2 linked regions of the Oryzias latipes genome follow. The protein of the gene in region 2 purifies or fractionates together with the protein of the main gene of each other region. This does not show direct contact. Links are inferred from orthologs where the notes say so. Each region holds a gene or a part of one and is shown on either strand. Other genes may lie near its edges. The genes, in order: ccnk and cdk13.

Region 1 (8,374 bases), on a different chromosome or scaffold from region 2:
ATTAAAAGTTAGATTGCTTCAGGGCAGGCCTGGGAGACTTTCAGAGTAGTAATTATTTATATAAATGAAATGTCATCTCAGCTCTGGCTCAAGGAGACATAACCTCAGCAGATGCCACATGGAAACACGGTGGCACGGCGGCGATCTTTCTCAGATCGGCCAGGCGTGTTGTGAAGCCCTAAGTGGAGGAGGGCAGAAATTTGGTATTTATGTTACAAGAAGCTTCTTCCTCCTCCTGTGGAGTTCAACAGCTGTCGTGGACATTCTTAAGGAAAACATTATCCTGAGTTCACACACTCTCCCTTGCCACCTTCTAGTGGCTGCAAGCATCTCCTTGATCCCAACCCTTGGGTGTCTCAATAATGCATCGGTGTCTCCATTATAGCTCATATGCACGCTCCCAGCAATAGCAGTGTAAACAGGTTGTAGAGGGCCAACACGGCCTGATTGTGGACACAGGAAAGGTTTTAAGTCCAAATGTACCTCCTGAGGTGAGTGTCATCTCTGAAATCCAGCTTTTATCAAACTAACATAAGCAAATTCTAAAAGCACTTATAATTTATGTTAAAACATCCCCCCAAAAAACTAAAACCCAGTGAGAAAGTGAAGGAGGGCGGCTCGTGCACATGACTGGACATCCGCTTTGGTTCTGGGTCAAATCTTCATTACATCTTTTTTCCTTTCTCCATTGACTTTCTCCCTAAAGATAAAAAAAAAGGACATTAATAAAATATCCAATATGATGGAAAAGTGTCCATAATACAATTTTTAAGAACATTCTGGGGACTGCTTTATTTATTTATTTTTTTCTAGCCCAGATTTAAAGAATAATAAAGGCTTTTGATGTGATTAACCACAAAGTGACAGGGCTGACATAAACAATGAAAGGTCCACTCCAGGAGAGCTGCTGGTAATACGAATATTGCTGTGGGATTTGCTTATATTCGCTGCTTCATTATGCAATATTTAATATTAATAAAGAAAGTATAAGTATATATTATTTATAAGCTGATTTACTGCAGTTGTGTGAGTGTGTGGTTTGAATGACAGATTGAGATGCTCCTTTGCTACAGGCGATACAAGTAGACAAGGCTCTTACTTTTCTCCAGAACCCAACCTGACAATTTCTCCCACAGTTAAGAGGATTTGTCCGAGCGGGAGTAAATATATAATGCATGCATCTTCCAAAAATTTATGTGGACAGAGTAAATGTTTTAATGCTGGCTTTTCTGGGAAATGAAGACTGGAGGGGCAAATGGAGAGGGCTCCACAGGACTTGTGGTTCTGCTCTATTAGTCATATTTCAGGCATAAACAGAAGATGGTTCTTTGGTCATACAACAATGGCACTCAGGAAAAATGCTCATGTCATCCAGAGTAAAATACTCAATTACAAATGGTTGCAGCAGCTCTTTGCTGCTATCTATCTATCTATCTATCTGTCTGTCTGTCTGTCTGTCTGTCTGTCTGTCTGTCTGTCTGTCTGACACTGTTTCACGTGTATTTGTCTCCCTCTAGTGGTAGTAATTGAGAATGGCATTGTCTCGGTGTAAATAATTGAATTGTGGTTTGTTTGACGCAGCAGCCTCATTTAAACATAAATAGTAATTCATTAAGGTGTGTTTTCTATTATTAATAAATGGGAAAAGTACTAAATCATTATAATTTCCTCAAAAAAGCAGTTATTGCTCTATTAATGCTCATAAACATGCTCTCTGATTTTGGACTTTCAGAGAATACCTTTTCCACGACACATAAAATATTCTTGTTTGGCACTTCAGTAATGTTGGTCTTATAATGTTACTTATTAGAGTTACATTTCTACATATGAAATCTCACTGTAAGTATTTGATGTAACAATAAAACATGTAGATGAGCAATTTCTTTCCCATTTTTAATACTAGTGAACTTTAAGGACAATACACTCTTTCACACAACAGAAACGTAATCGCGAATACTTTTAGCACCGAAAAAATAAATCTATATAAAGTTAGAGGGAAAAAGACTGTGATTGTGAAAAGCAGAAACAGAATTAAGCAGAAAAGTACTTAAAAATGAAAATAATAAAATAAAAATCTAGGTCATAAACCTGTTGAATAAACACACAAACACAAATATGTATTTTTTTTGTGTTTATCTGAAAGATGTATACTGATGATTTTTGCTTTACAGTAAATCCCCTTTTTTAACCAAACTTTATTGAACGCAACAATCAAATACACAACAGTTCAAGACAACAACAGGAAAGGAACAAACCAGGCGGTTAATATTAGATTTTACACAAACTGACGCACAGATCGAATGTTTTAATGGCCTTCTTATTGTCATAGTTTCTTATTGTCTTCATGCATTGTTTGAACTCATTGATAAAGATAGAAAAATAAGGGGTTTGATTTGTAACTTTGGATTTATGAATGTGCAATTTGTATAAAAAAACAATAAGAGATTAATGCTGTATGATTGTTCTTTTTATGAGATGGACAGTGGGTGAGGCCAAACATAACATGTTCTAAATAGAGTCTGTGTCAATGTGGGCGGATATGAAATTGCAATCTTTAGACCAGAGACTAGTGGAAAAGGGACATGATCAAATAAATGTACAGCATCTTCAGGGTGTTCTTGACAAAAAGAGCAGGTGACATCAACATCCTTTTTGAACCTTTGGAGATACAGTTTGGTTGGGTAGACTTATGGATTAGTTTAAATGAGATTTCTTTCACTTTATTGGTTAAGAAATATTTTTCTGGTAGATTCCAGATCTTTTTCCATGATTGGTAAACTCAATTATTCCAATAAAGTACATAGGGAATGGACACAACATCCTTCTGAAAGAGTGAGCACATGCGGCGATTTGTGTTACGTGAAGAAGAAAAACAGATTTGACCTATTTGTATTTTAGTTGGGTCAATTGGTAATAAAGTTGGACTCTGCAATGATGTTAAAAATCACATTTTTCCACCAGTGTGTTACTGTAGCGTTTCCTCTTTTCTTTTTTTTCTTTCAAAACTTTATTGAAGATGTACAGGATACAAAATCAAGTCAGTTTTTAAGTACACAGATAAAAAAAGAATAACAAAATGTGCCAGGGGAACATAAAGAATAAAGGACGAAAAAAGATTATAAACAAGAGCAGTCAAAGCAGTAAGTTGCTATTCTATACATTTAAATAACGTTTTCTCTTCTTTTTTTTTAAACTTTATTGTACAAAACGTAAGTACGATACAAAACACAATTTTACTAAATAAAATTCAGATATGCCAGGGGAGCATACATACTAAATACATTTTACATAAAAACATTCAGGTTTCTGCAACTTTCATATAGACATACTGCTTTCTGATTAAGACTCTTGGAGATGTTACTGATATACATTTCAATTTGTTTGATTAAAATAGGGAAAAATAGAAGATGGAGAAAATTTAAATGTATGTATATAAAATTTGCCAAAAATAATAACAAGATTAACTATGAGTTTTTTTGTTTGACTCCAAATTTTTATTATGAAGGCCAAAAATTATATGTTCAAACTTTAGATTAAAGTTGGGGTGAATGCGATTTCTAATAAATTGCAAACATTTTTTCCAAAATATTCTAATTATAGTACAATTCCAAAAAAGATGGTCAATTGTTTCTGGAAATTCTTTGCAAGAAGTACAGTTAGGGTCAATTGTTTTAATGTATTTTAGCATAAATTGATTGGTGCGGTAAATTTTGTGAATTATTTTATAAGAAACTTCTTTCATTTTATTATTTATCATAAATTTTTGGGTCACAGTCCAGCCTTTCTTCCAGATACTGTCGGGAACAAAACGTCTCCAGTAGGTTCTACGTAGTACACGGTAACGTTTTCTCTTCAAGCAGCGCACGCGGTTGCTTGTGACGTCATGACGTCCGTCAGCCGCACTTGACGTTCTTCAAAATGGCGATTCTGTTGTGCCAGCGGGTGTTCTGTTCGAATCTGTCGCTAACTTTGGGTGAATAACTGAAGTCTCGTGTCGCGTTTGTGCTCTCCGGTTAATCCTGTCGTCGCCTACATGATAAAGGTACGTGCTGCGTCCTTCCGCCGGAGTCCGGTGACTCCAAATTTGACTTATTTATCGTAGCTTGTCGGCTCCGGCGGCTTTGCTAGCCGTTAGCGGGTACATTCATTCAGTTTCATCGCTTTACTGGCCGGCATGTTTTGGGAACATCCCCCCCCCCCCCCCCCATTATGAGTTTTTGTTTTTTTTCTTCAAAAAAAAATCCCAATTTTTAGGTTTATTTATTAATATACTTGCATCATTAAAGAGAAAGCGGTGAACACTGGTGATCATTTTCTAAGCTTTTATTAATTTGTGAATCTCTGGCTTTTATTTTATTTTTTGGACGTTTTTACACGACTCTCTAAATAAATTTAGGCCCATTTAAATACAAAATTGTATTTAAATCAGAATGAAAGAGCTACATCTGACTGACCAAAGTTGTCCATAATATCGACATTTATTGCTATTTTCAGCAGTCCAGCAGCACAGCAGGTCCATCCACCACCTCCCCTCAGTCAATGAAGGAGTCCAAGGACTTCTCGGGCGGCCAGTCCTTCCTGGATCACATCAAGCCGTGCTGGTACTGGGACAAGAAGGATTTAGCCCACACCCCTTCCCAGTCCGAGGGTCTTGACCCCGGGACCGAGGCCCGGTACAGGAGAGAAGGAGCCCGCTTCATTTTTGACGTGGGGACTCGACTCGGCCTGTATCCTCGATGGGTTCAGTAATCTGAGCAACGGGTCTCAGTTTGCAGCTATTTGAATGCATTCTCTGTACATTTAGCTCACTTGTTTATCATGATTGGGCGATTTTAAGGCTTCTATTGTGCATGAAGTAAACTCCTATGGTGAGGGATTTACTGTTTCTATGCTTCTGTCCTTCTGAAATGGATTCTTAACTGCCAGCAGACATTATGACACTCTTGCAACTGGCATCATATATTTCCATCGCTTCTACATGTTTCACTCCTTCAAGCAGTTTCCCAGATATGTATGTTCATGATTTATTTACTCTTTTGGTATTTTTTTTTTTTTTTCATTAACACAAAAGCTAATGTGGGATTTTGGGTTTGTGTTTCTACAGGTGACGGGTGCCTGTTGTCTTTTCTTGGCTGGGAAAGTGGAGGAAACGCCAAAGAAGTGTAAAGATATCATTAAAACAGCTCGCAGTTTACTCAACGATGTCCAGTTCGCCCAGTTTGGAGATGATCCGAAGGTGCAGTTCTATTTTAATAAACAGTTTTTTTTTTTTGAATCTTTCATGCCACACATTTCTGTGAGTCTGAAGTGCAGGACAGTCATGTCTGACCTTGTTCAAACAGGAGGAGGTGATGGTGCTGGAGAGGATTTTGCTCCAGACCATCAAGTTTGACTTGCAGGTGGAGCACCCTTACATGTTCCTGCTGCGTTACGTCAAACAGCTGAAAGGTGGGACGGGGTTCGTGCAGAACCGCTGCCCCAATGGAGCTCAGAAAGACTCATGTTTTGTTTTGGTGCTTCAGGAGACAAGAACAAAGTATGCAAGGTGCTCCAAATGGCCTGGACCTTCGTCAATGACAGGTAAGAGGTGCTGATTCTCGCATTGAGCTTTTAAGAATCTTGTAGTTGTTGCTAAATGTGTGTTTGAGTTAGAATAAATCGATCTACACAGTTGAGATAAGGCCTTCACTGCTTTATTTGCGTCCCTGGCAGCCTGTGCACCATGCTGTCCCTGCAGTGGGAGCCGGAGATCATCGCCGTGGCCGTCATGTACCTAGCAGGCCGACTTTGTAAGTTTGACATCCAGGAGTGGACCTCCAAGCAATCGTCGCGGCGTTGGTGGGAGCAGTTTGTGCAGGACGTCCCAGTTGAGCTGCTTGAAGGTTAAAAAAAAAAAAAACTTTATTGTTTTCCTCAAAAACGTGGGGCTTTCAGTCACAGCTTCCTTTGGTCCCTTCAGACATCTGCCACCAGATCCTGGACCTATATTCTCAAGGGAACAAGCCCATCCCTCAGCAGGTCCAAGAGAAGGAGAAGACGGCGGCTGTCACACCCACTGCGTCGCCGGTGCCGCAGGGGCAGCTCCCAGTTTCCAACCCGCCTCCCCCACCGCCAAAAAAGACGTCGCCGCAGGGGGGCAGTCCCGCACGGCAGCTCAAACGCTCCCACGTAAGCAGGAGTCGTCTACGCAGCAGCTGTTTAACATCATTACGAGCTGTCAGATGGTAAACTCGCTTTTTTTTTTGTAAATTCTTTCAGACATCCCCTAAAGATGAACCAAAGGCTCCAGGTGAAACAATTTCTTCGTTTTTTCGCAGAAAAAATCTGCAAGAGAGAATATTTTAAATATTTGTTCCGTTTTTTTTTTTTTTTATTAATTTTTTTAATTTTAAATTTGCAGAACAAACTGGATCAAAAATTCCCCGACTGGAGAGTCCCATGCCCCCACTACCGGCTGTTCAACCACCAGGTGAGCAGCTGTTCCTGAACTTCTGTTTGTGTTGAACCGAACAGGATTAGTGTTTATACTCCAGTTTGCTGATCTGATGGCAGATTTATTGTTTGCATGTTTGGCTAGATAGGAACTGAAGCTCATAAATCAGACTTATGTAATCAGTTCGTCTGTTTCAAAACATGCAGGCTGTTCCAGACCAATCTGATTAGGGCTTAATCCAAACGAGGAGGGCTCCTCTTTTCATTGTTGGAGAACTGAGGTCATTCGAGGTCATGAAACATCTAACTTGTTGTTTTTTCTCCTCCTGTACCAGCTCCTCCTGCAGAAGCAGAGCCAGGAAGTGAAGTGGCTCCTCCTCCCCCTCATGCTCCACCTCCCCACCAGCCCCCTCCCCTGCCCCATCGCCCTCCACCTCCTCCACCCTCCAACTACCTGATGTCCACCAACGCCTCGTACATGTCCGGAGAGGGCTTCCAGAGCCTGCAGTCCATGATGAAGACAGAAGGTCCCTCTTATGCCCCCATGCCCCCCGGCTATGCTCCTCCAATCCCACCATACCACCCGCATGTCTATCCACCGCCTGCAGCGCCCCCTCCAGGACCCCCACCGCCTCCTTCCACGTATCCACCTCCCAGCTTGGCCCCAAACTACCCGCCGCCGGGCTACAACAGCTACCCTCCGCCTCCGCACATGCCCCCCGGGATCGGCCTACCGCCTGCGGGATACCCTCCCCCACCACCCGTGCCCCCGGGACAAGCCCAAGTGCCTTTGCCGCCCCCACCTGGCATGCCCTTGAACCGTGGAGCGTGGATGAGATGAGGACGTTTGAAAGACTGTTGACACCTGAGCTGATGAGGAAGAGTGGGAGGTCTGTAAACGTTGCTTTTCTAATCTAGAAGGTGAATTCTCCAACACCCAGTAGCTCAACTTACAGTCACCGCTCACGTCTTGTACCTTCACCGCCGTCTGCTTTTCCATTGAAATTTCCTGTGAATTAGCATCTTTGTCTTTGATTTTTTCTATGAAATCCACCATAAAAACTGGGCTGCAGGATCTGAACGAACGTTTTCATTTTATACAAGCAACACTGGCTTCAGGAGTATTTGTGCTGCAGTTGAGACGCTTTTGTTTGAACTTCTGTTTTGTTTTTTCAATAAACTGTGCTTCACACAGTATTAAAGGAGAAGCAGTAGAGAAAAGATTTCTCATTTAAGTCTCTGGACCATTTCTTTTATAGGAAAGCATCGATGTGCTCCTTTATAGCGTTTTAATGACAATTCTGATTATGAAATCACTTCATGCCGACGTTCTTTCTTGAGTTAATCCCACAGGTTACTTTTGAAAAAGGAGTTTCAGAACGAAACCCACCAGTAAATCTGGCCTTTATAAATTCAATAATTGTTAGAGAATGAAAAAAGTTAAACGAATGTTTGAAAGTTACCTATAACATTAAAGGCGCACTTTAATCATCTTTTGATCCTAGTGGTTTTTTTTAGGATTATGCAGTTTTTAGCCAATAGTATTTGTTCACTTGCTGCTGATTCCCAACGATTTGAGTAAAGAAATACTCAAATTCAACTTTGAGCTTAACTTTTCTTCATACATGTCCTCCATCATGGGAAAAGTACCACAATGGTGTTAAAAACACCATTTTCATTATAGTGGTGCAGCTGTACTTATTCACCAGCAGAGGGCAGTGTGACTTAGGCAAACAACTGTTAAAAAAAGAGTCCACAGTGTTGTTAAGCAACTGGTTTATTTCATTTTCTCAGATTTGAATAAAAATGTTCTCATTTGTTTGTATCAGTGAAATTCATGAAAAGAAGTCATGCTAGTTGCAAGAATACACATTTATACTGTAGGTTTGCAGGGTTTTTTTTTTTAGTATATAGATAAAAGCATCATAAAAGTTAGAAATAA
Region 2 (8,361 bases):
GCATTTCAACCCAACTTGGTAGATAGAAAGTATTTAAGTTGCGGGCGACGATGAGAACTATATCCGTTTTTTATCATAATGACATTGATCCAATCAACGGCCTCCAACAGCAGCTCCACCCGTAACCCCTTCAGAACTTATTTCCAACAGAGGCCCAAAAAGGGTACAAATACTGGGCTGGTCTGAACCGGACCGTACCGCTCAGTGGAAACAAGGATTATGTTTGATCTGCTGGGAGGGTGTTCCTACACTCAGGCACTTAGAAAGACACTAAGAAAAACCTAGTTTTGCTTTCAGTTTTGGTTGCAGATTTGCATTAAAGTAGCAGAGTTTGTTTCCCGAGCACATCAGAGCAATAAGCCACACGAAAGCAGAACTTTTGAGTTGAAAACGCGTCAATCGGAAGAACGCGACTCAAGAAAAAGTGATGAGGCAGTGATGGGATACTTATCACCAATCTACATGACAGCTAGGCTATAGAAGAATCTGGATTTTCTTCAACGTTTGTCTTCTGCAGACAGTAACTTAAGCTGCGAGTTATTCTCCAGTTGAGCGTCCTCACCGAGCAGCACAGAGGCGGCCGCATTCTGGGTCTTCATGGCGCCGGGCGCCGCGAAGCCCTGTGGAGTGTTGCTGCGGCTGTCGTCCAGACCCAGCTCTTTACGCGGCGCTTTTGGAGCCACCAGCTCTTCCGGCATCTGCTTCTGCCGCCGCCGTTTCTTGCTCCACAGCTCGTGACAGTCCTGCCAAAGGGGGAGGCTGAAAATAAAAAAAGAAGAGAAAAAAGTTACAAATCAGAAGACTTTGGGCAGATGCGAGGAGATAAAAGTGACCCGGAACACACTCGGGTGGAGGCATCTTGTCGGGATCCACATCCTTGAGAAACTCGCTGCTCAGCGCTTGTTCGGCCGTGCAGCGTCTGCCGGGGTCCAGGTTCAGCATGTGGTCAAACAGATCCAAGGCCGCCGGAGGGATGCTGGACGACCACAAGACCGCCAGCGTTATCACAAGGTCAGGTTATTGGGAAACGAGTCTAGAGTTGCGTCAACTGACTTACAAAGCAAACTCCTCTCTGAGCCGCCTCCGATATTGCTTCTTTGGTTTCATGGTGTTGAAGAACGGAAGCTTGATCACATCTGGCCACACAGCGGGACAAGGACTGCCGCAAATACGACTGAAACAAACATATAACCCCATTTTCTTCCCAATTTGCGACATAACAGAGACAATTCCATAAAAACGCAGAGAAAAATAACATTTTCACTGAAAAGACCCGGCCGTCCAAACATGAAACCCCCGGAAAAGTGTAGCTGCTTCTCACCTGATGAGCTCCAACTGAGCAAGCTCCTGGTTGGCTTGAAAGATGGGTTTCTTTGTGAACAGTTCTCCCAGAATGCACCTGTGACAGAATCGCCAACATGAAAAACTACGACGGACGAACACCAGCTGGCTTTGAACGAACGCCGCCCTTACCCGCAGCTCCACACATCGATGGCGGGGGTGTACCTCTCCTCCCCCAGGAGCAGCTCCGGCGGGCGGTACCAAAGCGTGATCACTTTGTTCGTGTACGGTCGACTGAAAGTGGAAACACGGCGACACACACGAGTAAAAGAAACACAAACCAACCATCATAAAGTCCAGTCATAAAACACAAGACTCACCTCTCCTCTGAGTTATAGAGCCGAGCCAGGCCAAAGTCTGCCAGCTTTATTTGACCCCTGATTAGGAGGGAGAAAACGATTAAGCACGTTGTGAAACATCCTGGAGGTTGTTGTGATTTCTGCCTCCAGCCTCACCTGTTGTTGAGCAGAATGTTGGAGCACTTGATGTCTCTGTGGAGGAAGTTCTTCTTGTGGCAGTAATCCAGACCCTCCAGCAGCTGCCGCATGAAGGACTTGATGTGGCTTTCGTTGAAGTGAACCAGGCCAGACTCCAGCAGACCCATCAGGTCGTGGTCCATGTATTCAAACACCAGATAGAAAGCACCTGGAATTAAAAAAAACATAAAAAAAGCTACTTTAACCTCTCAACTCTTAAAGTTTTAAAATAACTTTTAAATTTCAACGGTTACCTTTATCGTTCCTGAAATCCAGAGCGTCCTCTTTGTCCGTGACGATCTCCTTCATGTTGATGATGCTCTTGTGGTTCAGCTGTCGCAGAATCTTGATTTCTCTGATGGCCGTGATCGGAAAGCCTTCCTTCTCATTGTCCAGACGGACCTTCTTCAGAGCCACCATTTCACCTGAGCGAAACAAACCTGAGAATGAGTCTGCTCTGCTTTTTCCAACTCAAGCTGAATCCACTGACTGCGGTAGAGGGTAAACACAGAGAATGAATGAGCAAACATTTTCAGGAAACCCACCAGTGTCTTTGTCTTTGGCCTTGTACACCTGACCGTAGGTGCCTTCTCCTGTGATTCCAATGATCTCAAACTTGTCCACACACCGTTTACCCCAATCTATCTCGATTTCCTTGATCTCGCCAAACCTCGGGCCACAAATTCTGGTAAAAAAGAAGCAAACAAGAAGTAAATAACCATCAAGTCGATATTAAAAGTCCCACTTTAAACATTTTCTAGAAATAGAAATCCTCAGAAATGCCATTTTAAGCTTAACTGATGACTTGACATGATTGGAAAAAAGCAACAAGAAATACACAATTTTCAGTAGATTGGAAAAAAGCAACAAGAAATACACAATTTTCAGTAGATTGGAAAAAAGCAACAAGAAATACACAATTTTCAGTAGAGTGGGTCTACACAGCTGCAGGGAAGGGAAATTACTTTGGTCTTCGTCGAAATGTTTGGGACTTTTCCAGCTTATCGGGAGGGCTGCTTGGAGAAACCGAGGGGCAGGGGAGTTCAGGGGGCAAGGGGAGGTCAGTCAGAAGCTGGCGCGTTTTTTTCTCCAGCTTCTTTTTGCCCGGAAGCGAGCCGTCTTTCAAACTATGAATGGAGGAGAGCAGACAGACAAAAACAATCAGATAAAGCCGCATGGATGCTACAATACAAGTGCTGAGGAGTGTGAAGGAGGTTACATACTTGTCTCCTTTGTCTGCGTTCTCAGCAACTATTTGGGGCAGTGGCAGCTGTGGCAGAGTGGAGATAACTGGGCCAGCGGCTCTGTCCTTGTCTTTGATCTGCCCAGACGCCGGGGCTTTCTTCTTGTCCCGGTGTAGAGGGTCCTCTTTCCCCTTACTGCTGCTCTGGTGCTCTGCTGTCTTCTTCAATTTATCTGCAGGAGACTGAGGCTGGTTGGATGTGGGGGTCCGGGGCCCTTTCTCTGGGGCAGGCGGTGAGGGGGGGCGTCCTTTCTTGGCCGTGTGGTTGGATTTGGGACTGGGCTGGTGAGCAGACGACGGCATTTTGGTTGGAGTCGACGTGTTGCTCGAGTTTTTGGCCTTTGCGGCCGCTTCTGCGGCTTTGACCTTTTTCTGCTTGCTGAGCTCGGCGGCCAGACTGCTCTTGAAGGTGAGCGTGCTCGGCGACAGGCTGGAAGGGCGGCTGCGGGAGCGAGAGTGTCGGTGGCGGCTGTGGGAGCGCGAGTGCCTTGAGGATGGAAAGGGACTTCTGCTGCGTGACCTTGCGGGTCTCCTGCAGAGAGAATTATGGGTGAAATCTCAGACTGAAAAGCAGGACAGGTTATGGTATATTTCTGACATATAGAGCAGGTTTTTCCCAATAAATCAATACTAAACAAATAAATAAAAATGTTTAAGGCCTACTACAACGCTGAAGAACCTCACCTGACATCTGGACTGGGGCTCAGGGACTTCCTGTATGGACTCCGTGACTTCCTCCGCTTTCCATAAGGACTTGAGACGAACTCTCCTTGTTCGAAAGGGCTGTGTCGACCGTAACTTGGTGACCTCCTCCAGTTGGCTGGGCTCGCGGGCGATCGCTTCCTCTTGTTGCTTGAATACGAAGTGGGTGACTTTGGCATTCCATATCCGCCATACACATCATCCCGGTTGAAATACGTAGCACTGGGAGAATGTCTTTTACTTCCATAAGTTGGACTTCTTCTAGATGCCAGCTGGGCATAGTTACCAGGAGATTGGTAGTTAAGGGAATAGGATGTCCCATAGGGACTGTCAGTTTTAAAACCAGGACTTTTTCTGTACGCCCTGGGGTCCTCGCGGTCGTTTCGATAAGACTGTGGCGCGTCTCTGTACGCAGACGGCGTCTCTTTATCAGTTCTCGTTTTGCTTCTGTGCCTTTTTGCGTTCTTCTTATCTGCCGATTGAGAAGACGAAGACGTCCTTTTGCCATTTTTGTCGCCGCTCCGTGTGGCGGTTTTAGAGCCGCTTAGGCTACCTCCAGTTCTGACTTTTAAGGAGTCTCTTTCACGACTCTGGTGATCTTTTTTCTTGGACAAGTCCTTATCTTGTTTGCTCCTCTCGGATGGTCCTCTGAACTCTTTACTGAGGTAAACTGCTTCCCGGTCTCTTAGTTGACCCCTGGCCAGGGAGGCCGGTCCATTATATTCAAAGTTAACAGAGCTGAGGGGATCCGCTGGGAGATTGTCAGCGTGGGGGTCAATTTTAGGAGAGGGGCTACCGGAGAATCGTTCTGATTGGGAGCTCACGTCGTCGTATTCTACTAACGTCCGAAGTTCAAGTTCCTTGTCGAAATCACTTCTCTTGTCGGGGCCGTCCGTTGTGACCGCATGCCACAGGTGTCGGTCCTTCTGCTGCCTGCGCTTCTTCCTCCGGGAGGCGGACGACCGTCCCTTCTCGCGGCGCCTGTCTCGCGGAGCGGTGGTACCGCTCGCCGCTTTGCTGCGCCTCCCCTGCCTGTTAGCATTCTGGAGCTCCGAGGGGCTCCGTCCTCCCCGCCCGTCGCGAAGCACCTCCGAGTTGGGCATTTATGTCTCAATTAACGGATGAGTTAGGAATAAGTTTATAAAATATGAACTACGTGCCCCTGTCGATTCATAAAACACAACATTGGGCTAGCTGTGTAACAGGCTACTAAGCTGACATTACAGCTAGCTAAATCGCTAGCTTTAGCATTCAGTGGCTATTATTAAGACCAAAATTCCCGATACAAACAATCGTAATGCTCCGTAGAAGCTGGTGCTAAGGATTTAGTCACAACTAATTTACAGCAATTTTATAACAAACAATACTTAACCGCCGTGTTCCAGCGAAAAGCCCACATATCCAGGATTTGATAGCGAAGGCTAGTCGGTTTAGCCCGCTAGTCCGCCGTAGCTAGCAGTTCGGCTACAGAGTGGTTTTCCCATTTCATGGTGAACGTTCGCAATGACCCGAAACAACTTAGAATTATTAAAAAACCAACGTCTTCTAAATTATAAATGTCCATAAAAACAAAAAGCTATCAGTGCACATTTAAAAAACGAACAATAAAAAAAGTCAGACGCCTCCATAAAAACTTCTTGCCTTCCATCACACTCGTAGATGCAACAAGGAAGTGAGGTCGGAGGCTAGCTCCCTGCTAGCAACTTAGCCGGTCGGCTTTTCTTTTCTCCTTCTGTGGAGTTCAACTCAGTGAATTTGAAGTAAAACATTCAAAGGCGCGTCCGCCTAAACCTTCACCGCAGAGACTCTCCTCCGTCTAATAACATCCTCCACGATCCCGGAACGCGATGACTCTCATCGAGGAGCGATTTAGATCAAATCCTCGAATCTATTTCAAAATACTTCACACAACTTCATTGTGGCTAACGGTGCAGCTCGCTTGGGCCACAGCTTTGGAACTACAGGCCTTCTACGTAGAAACGAACCAATAGGAACCCAGTGCGTAACTTACGTCAGAGCTTACGTCACAACGAGGGGAACCCTTCCCTTCAAAATAGAACAAAATTGATTTTTTTTTAATTAAAGGGCGACGTATTTTTCCTGCGGTTCATTTACATTAGAAAATGTTTTTAATGACAAATATAAGCATAAACACAAACATTTTATGGAGGGAGGTGTTCAAAGACAATTGCATAATAACCCCCTCCAAAGAAAAAGAACGAAATTTGATTTTTTAAATATATTGTCTAATAAAAATACCTTTTCCTCTCGATAATTTATCAGTTTAAATAGATTTTTATTTTCAATATTTTGGGTATTACATCAGGTTTTTTAGCATATAATCCCCCCTTCTGTTTCTTTTATTGCCATTAGTATATGAGACATAACTTTTCTTCATATATATATATATATATATATATATATATATATATATATATATATTTTTGTTCTTAAAATAAACTATAATACTGCTGAAAATTCTATTTCTAGAGGGGCCTGAACTAACAAAAACAAATGATTTTTTTCATTATTATTGCGCACATTTATGATTTGTTTATGTACTTTTCTTCTTCTAAACACCTAATCTTTAGTTCTTTATTTTCTTAAAGATTCTTTTAATTTTAAAGTTCTTGGTTCAACAGTTGAGTTGTGAAGTTAATTCATTTAATATTGGGACAAAACGTCAATTAAGAGCTTAAAGTAAACGTTCCATATGCCCATGCTTTCACATTTCATTGCTATCTGCAGAAATGATCCCATTTAGAAACATTTCTTAGAGTTTCTCACTAAGACAGACAGTAGAAAAAACAAACACATGTGGAAGATATTAGTAATATCCATTTTATTAGCCACTTTCAAAGAACTCACAGAATATGAATTGAAATGTAAGCTTCACCTCTTGCATTCACAAAAAGGCTACATTAGTGGTTACGCTCAAAAAAACAAAACAAAAAGAAAGTAAACATGAAGGAAACATTAAACTGGTGGCATACATACAACCATCCAGCCAAAAGACATCCATATTTCTTTTTCATTTACAGGTATTTATATAAAAGGCAAACCGAAGGTATTTGAATACCCAGTGGGACAGTTTGCTCATAGCGTTCACACAAACATTTTATTTTGCATCATGTTGAACATTTTGGGCCATAAAGTCAATACAATTATGCATAAAATAAAAAATAGTTCTGATTTTCCACTTAAAAGTAGACGAGTGTGTTAGGCTGATAGTACGATAAGCAAGCACGATGCTAGTTCCCGTGACGAGTTAAATCCGTCCGTGCCGGTCACTTTAAGACGCTCCCTAAGGTTCACATCCAACTAACTCCTCTGTGTGCTCTTAACTCCACAAGCATTCCTCTGTTTCACCAACTAGTGAGACGATGGACGAACACAAGAACATTAATAGTAAAAAGATTGATTTCAAGAGCCTCTGGGCAACGCCGCATCACGCCATCCTTCGTCATTGGAGCTGAAGTGCATCCAAAACACTCCAGCTTTGTAAGGTAGTTTATGGAGACCAACTTCAGTTTCAGGTTCCTTCTTTGCAAATCAAGCAACATCATTATTATTATTTTATTTTTTTTGCATAGACTTACTCTCAGTTTAAACAGAGTGGAGGCAGAGTGGCAACGGCCTGCAGGGGGCGCCTAATGGATTGACACCCAAATAAACCAAAAAAATTAGATCTTTTAAAATGAAAAACCATTTGTAAAAGCTTGAATCACATGACTGCTACTCTTTGAGTTTGGTGAGAGTGGCCTGAAATCCTAGATTCCACCACGCTAACACAAGCTGCAAAGGAATAGTCGAAAGGGAAGAACATTAGACTTTTAAAAACACGAACCATCTGCATCTGTGCTCCAAGATCACTTCCTCTTTGCTCATTTATATAGAATCGGGGTTTTTTTCTTTGCCCTTTGACCGCCTCAGATGAGCCACACCGACAGACGCAGAACGCACGAACGAGCCGTCGGATTAGGGGGCAAACGGGACGAGAGAGAGAGCGGACGTTATTCACATTCACAATGGACAGAGAGGCAACAGTGATGCAATGCACAGGGTTACTAAAGCCGTCATAACCTTGCATTTCCTCGCAGGCGGTCCAGAGCTAAATATTTTGCTTTCCATGACACCCAGTTGATCTTTGAGGTCTCACACAGACATTGTAGTGCTTCTTGTTTTTTTAATAATCCGTTTTCTGTATGGCAGGTTTTCAGACACTTACATTAGTGAGCGGGCACTTGTTTGAACTAGCTAGCTGTTTTCTTTGGTAACCGACAGCATCGTTTTTGAACAGGTACCACTTCACTTTTTTTCTTTTTTTTAAGCATACTCCAACTCTTTGAAAATAAATGTCAAAAAACAAAAAAAAAAGTGGGATTTAAAGTCAGCGATTAAAGTGAGTTGAAAACATGAACGAGTGCAGCGCGTAAAAGGTTTAGTGTTACGGAATCACCTTTTATCAGAGCACCAGAGATTCCTCTATTCTGAAAAGGAAATAACATTTTGAGATGAAATAAACTAAAAGCTGAGAAACATCTGAAAAGTTCAAGTGTTTTGTTGTTTAAATTCCCTAAAGGGTGAAGGTTATTTGTG

What was found.
Region 1: the proteins of cdk13 (region 2) and ccnk purify together in Homo sapiens (affinity purification with mass spectrometry; 4 studies listed by BioGRID and IntAct, counting the BioPlex papers as one, with this or other methods). This does not show direct contact. The link is inferred for Oryzias latipes from reciprocal best matches to the Homo sapiens genes CDK13 and CCNK.

The regions. Positions count from the first base shown.
Region 1 is NC_019882.2:3,581,085-3,589,458, forward strand, and holds ccnk (cyclin-K), read left to right. Parts: upstream 1-3,895; 5' UTR 3,896-4,033; coding exon 4,034-4,042; intron 4,043-4,494; coding exon 4,495-4,727; intron 4,728-4,929; coding exon 4,930-5,011; intron 5,012-5,104; coding exon 5,105-5,236; intron 5,237-5,342; coding exon 5,343-5,448; intron 5,449-5,522; coding exon 5,523-5,580; intron 5,581-5,712; coding exon 5,713-5,882; intron 5,883-5,959; coding exon 5,960-6,168; intron 6,169-6,258; coding exon 6,259-6,289; intron 6,290-6,400; coding exon 6,401-6,469; intron 6,470-6,767; coding exon 6,768-7,273; 3' UTR 7,274-7,923; downstream 7,924-8,374. UniProt on the Homo sapiens protein: Regulatory subunit of cyclin-dependent kinases that mediates activation of target kinases.
Region 2 is NC_019878.2:22,522,784-22,531,144, reverse strand, and holds the start of cdk13 (cyclin-dependent kinase 13), read right to left. Parts: upstream 5,734-8,361; 5' UTR 4,866-5,733; coding exon 3,745-4,865; intron 3,593-3,744; coding exon 3,041-3,592; intron 2,945-3,040; coding exon 2,783-2,944; intron 2,503-2,782; coding exon 2,363-2,502; intron 2,243-2,362; coding exon 2,072-2,242; intron 1,987-2,071; coding exon 1,797-1,986; intron 1,719-1,796; coding exon 1,662-1,718; intron 1,576-1,661; coding exon 1,474-1,575; intron 1,400-1,473; coding exon 1,322-1,399; intron 1,175-1,321; coding exon 1,058-1,174; intron 977-1,057; coding exon 845-976; intron 760-844; coding exon 563-759; intron 1-562. UniProt on the Homo sapiens protein: Cyclin-dependent kinase which displays CTD kinase activity and is required for RNA splicing.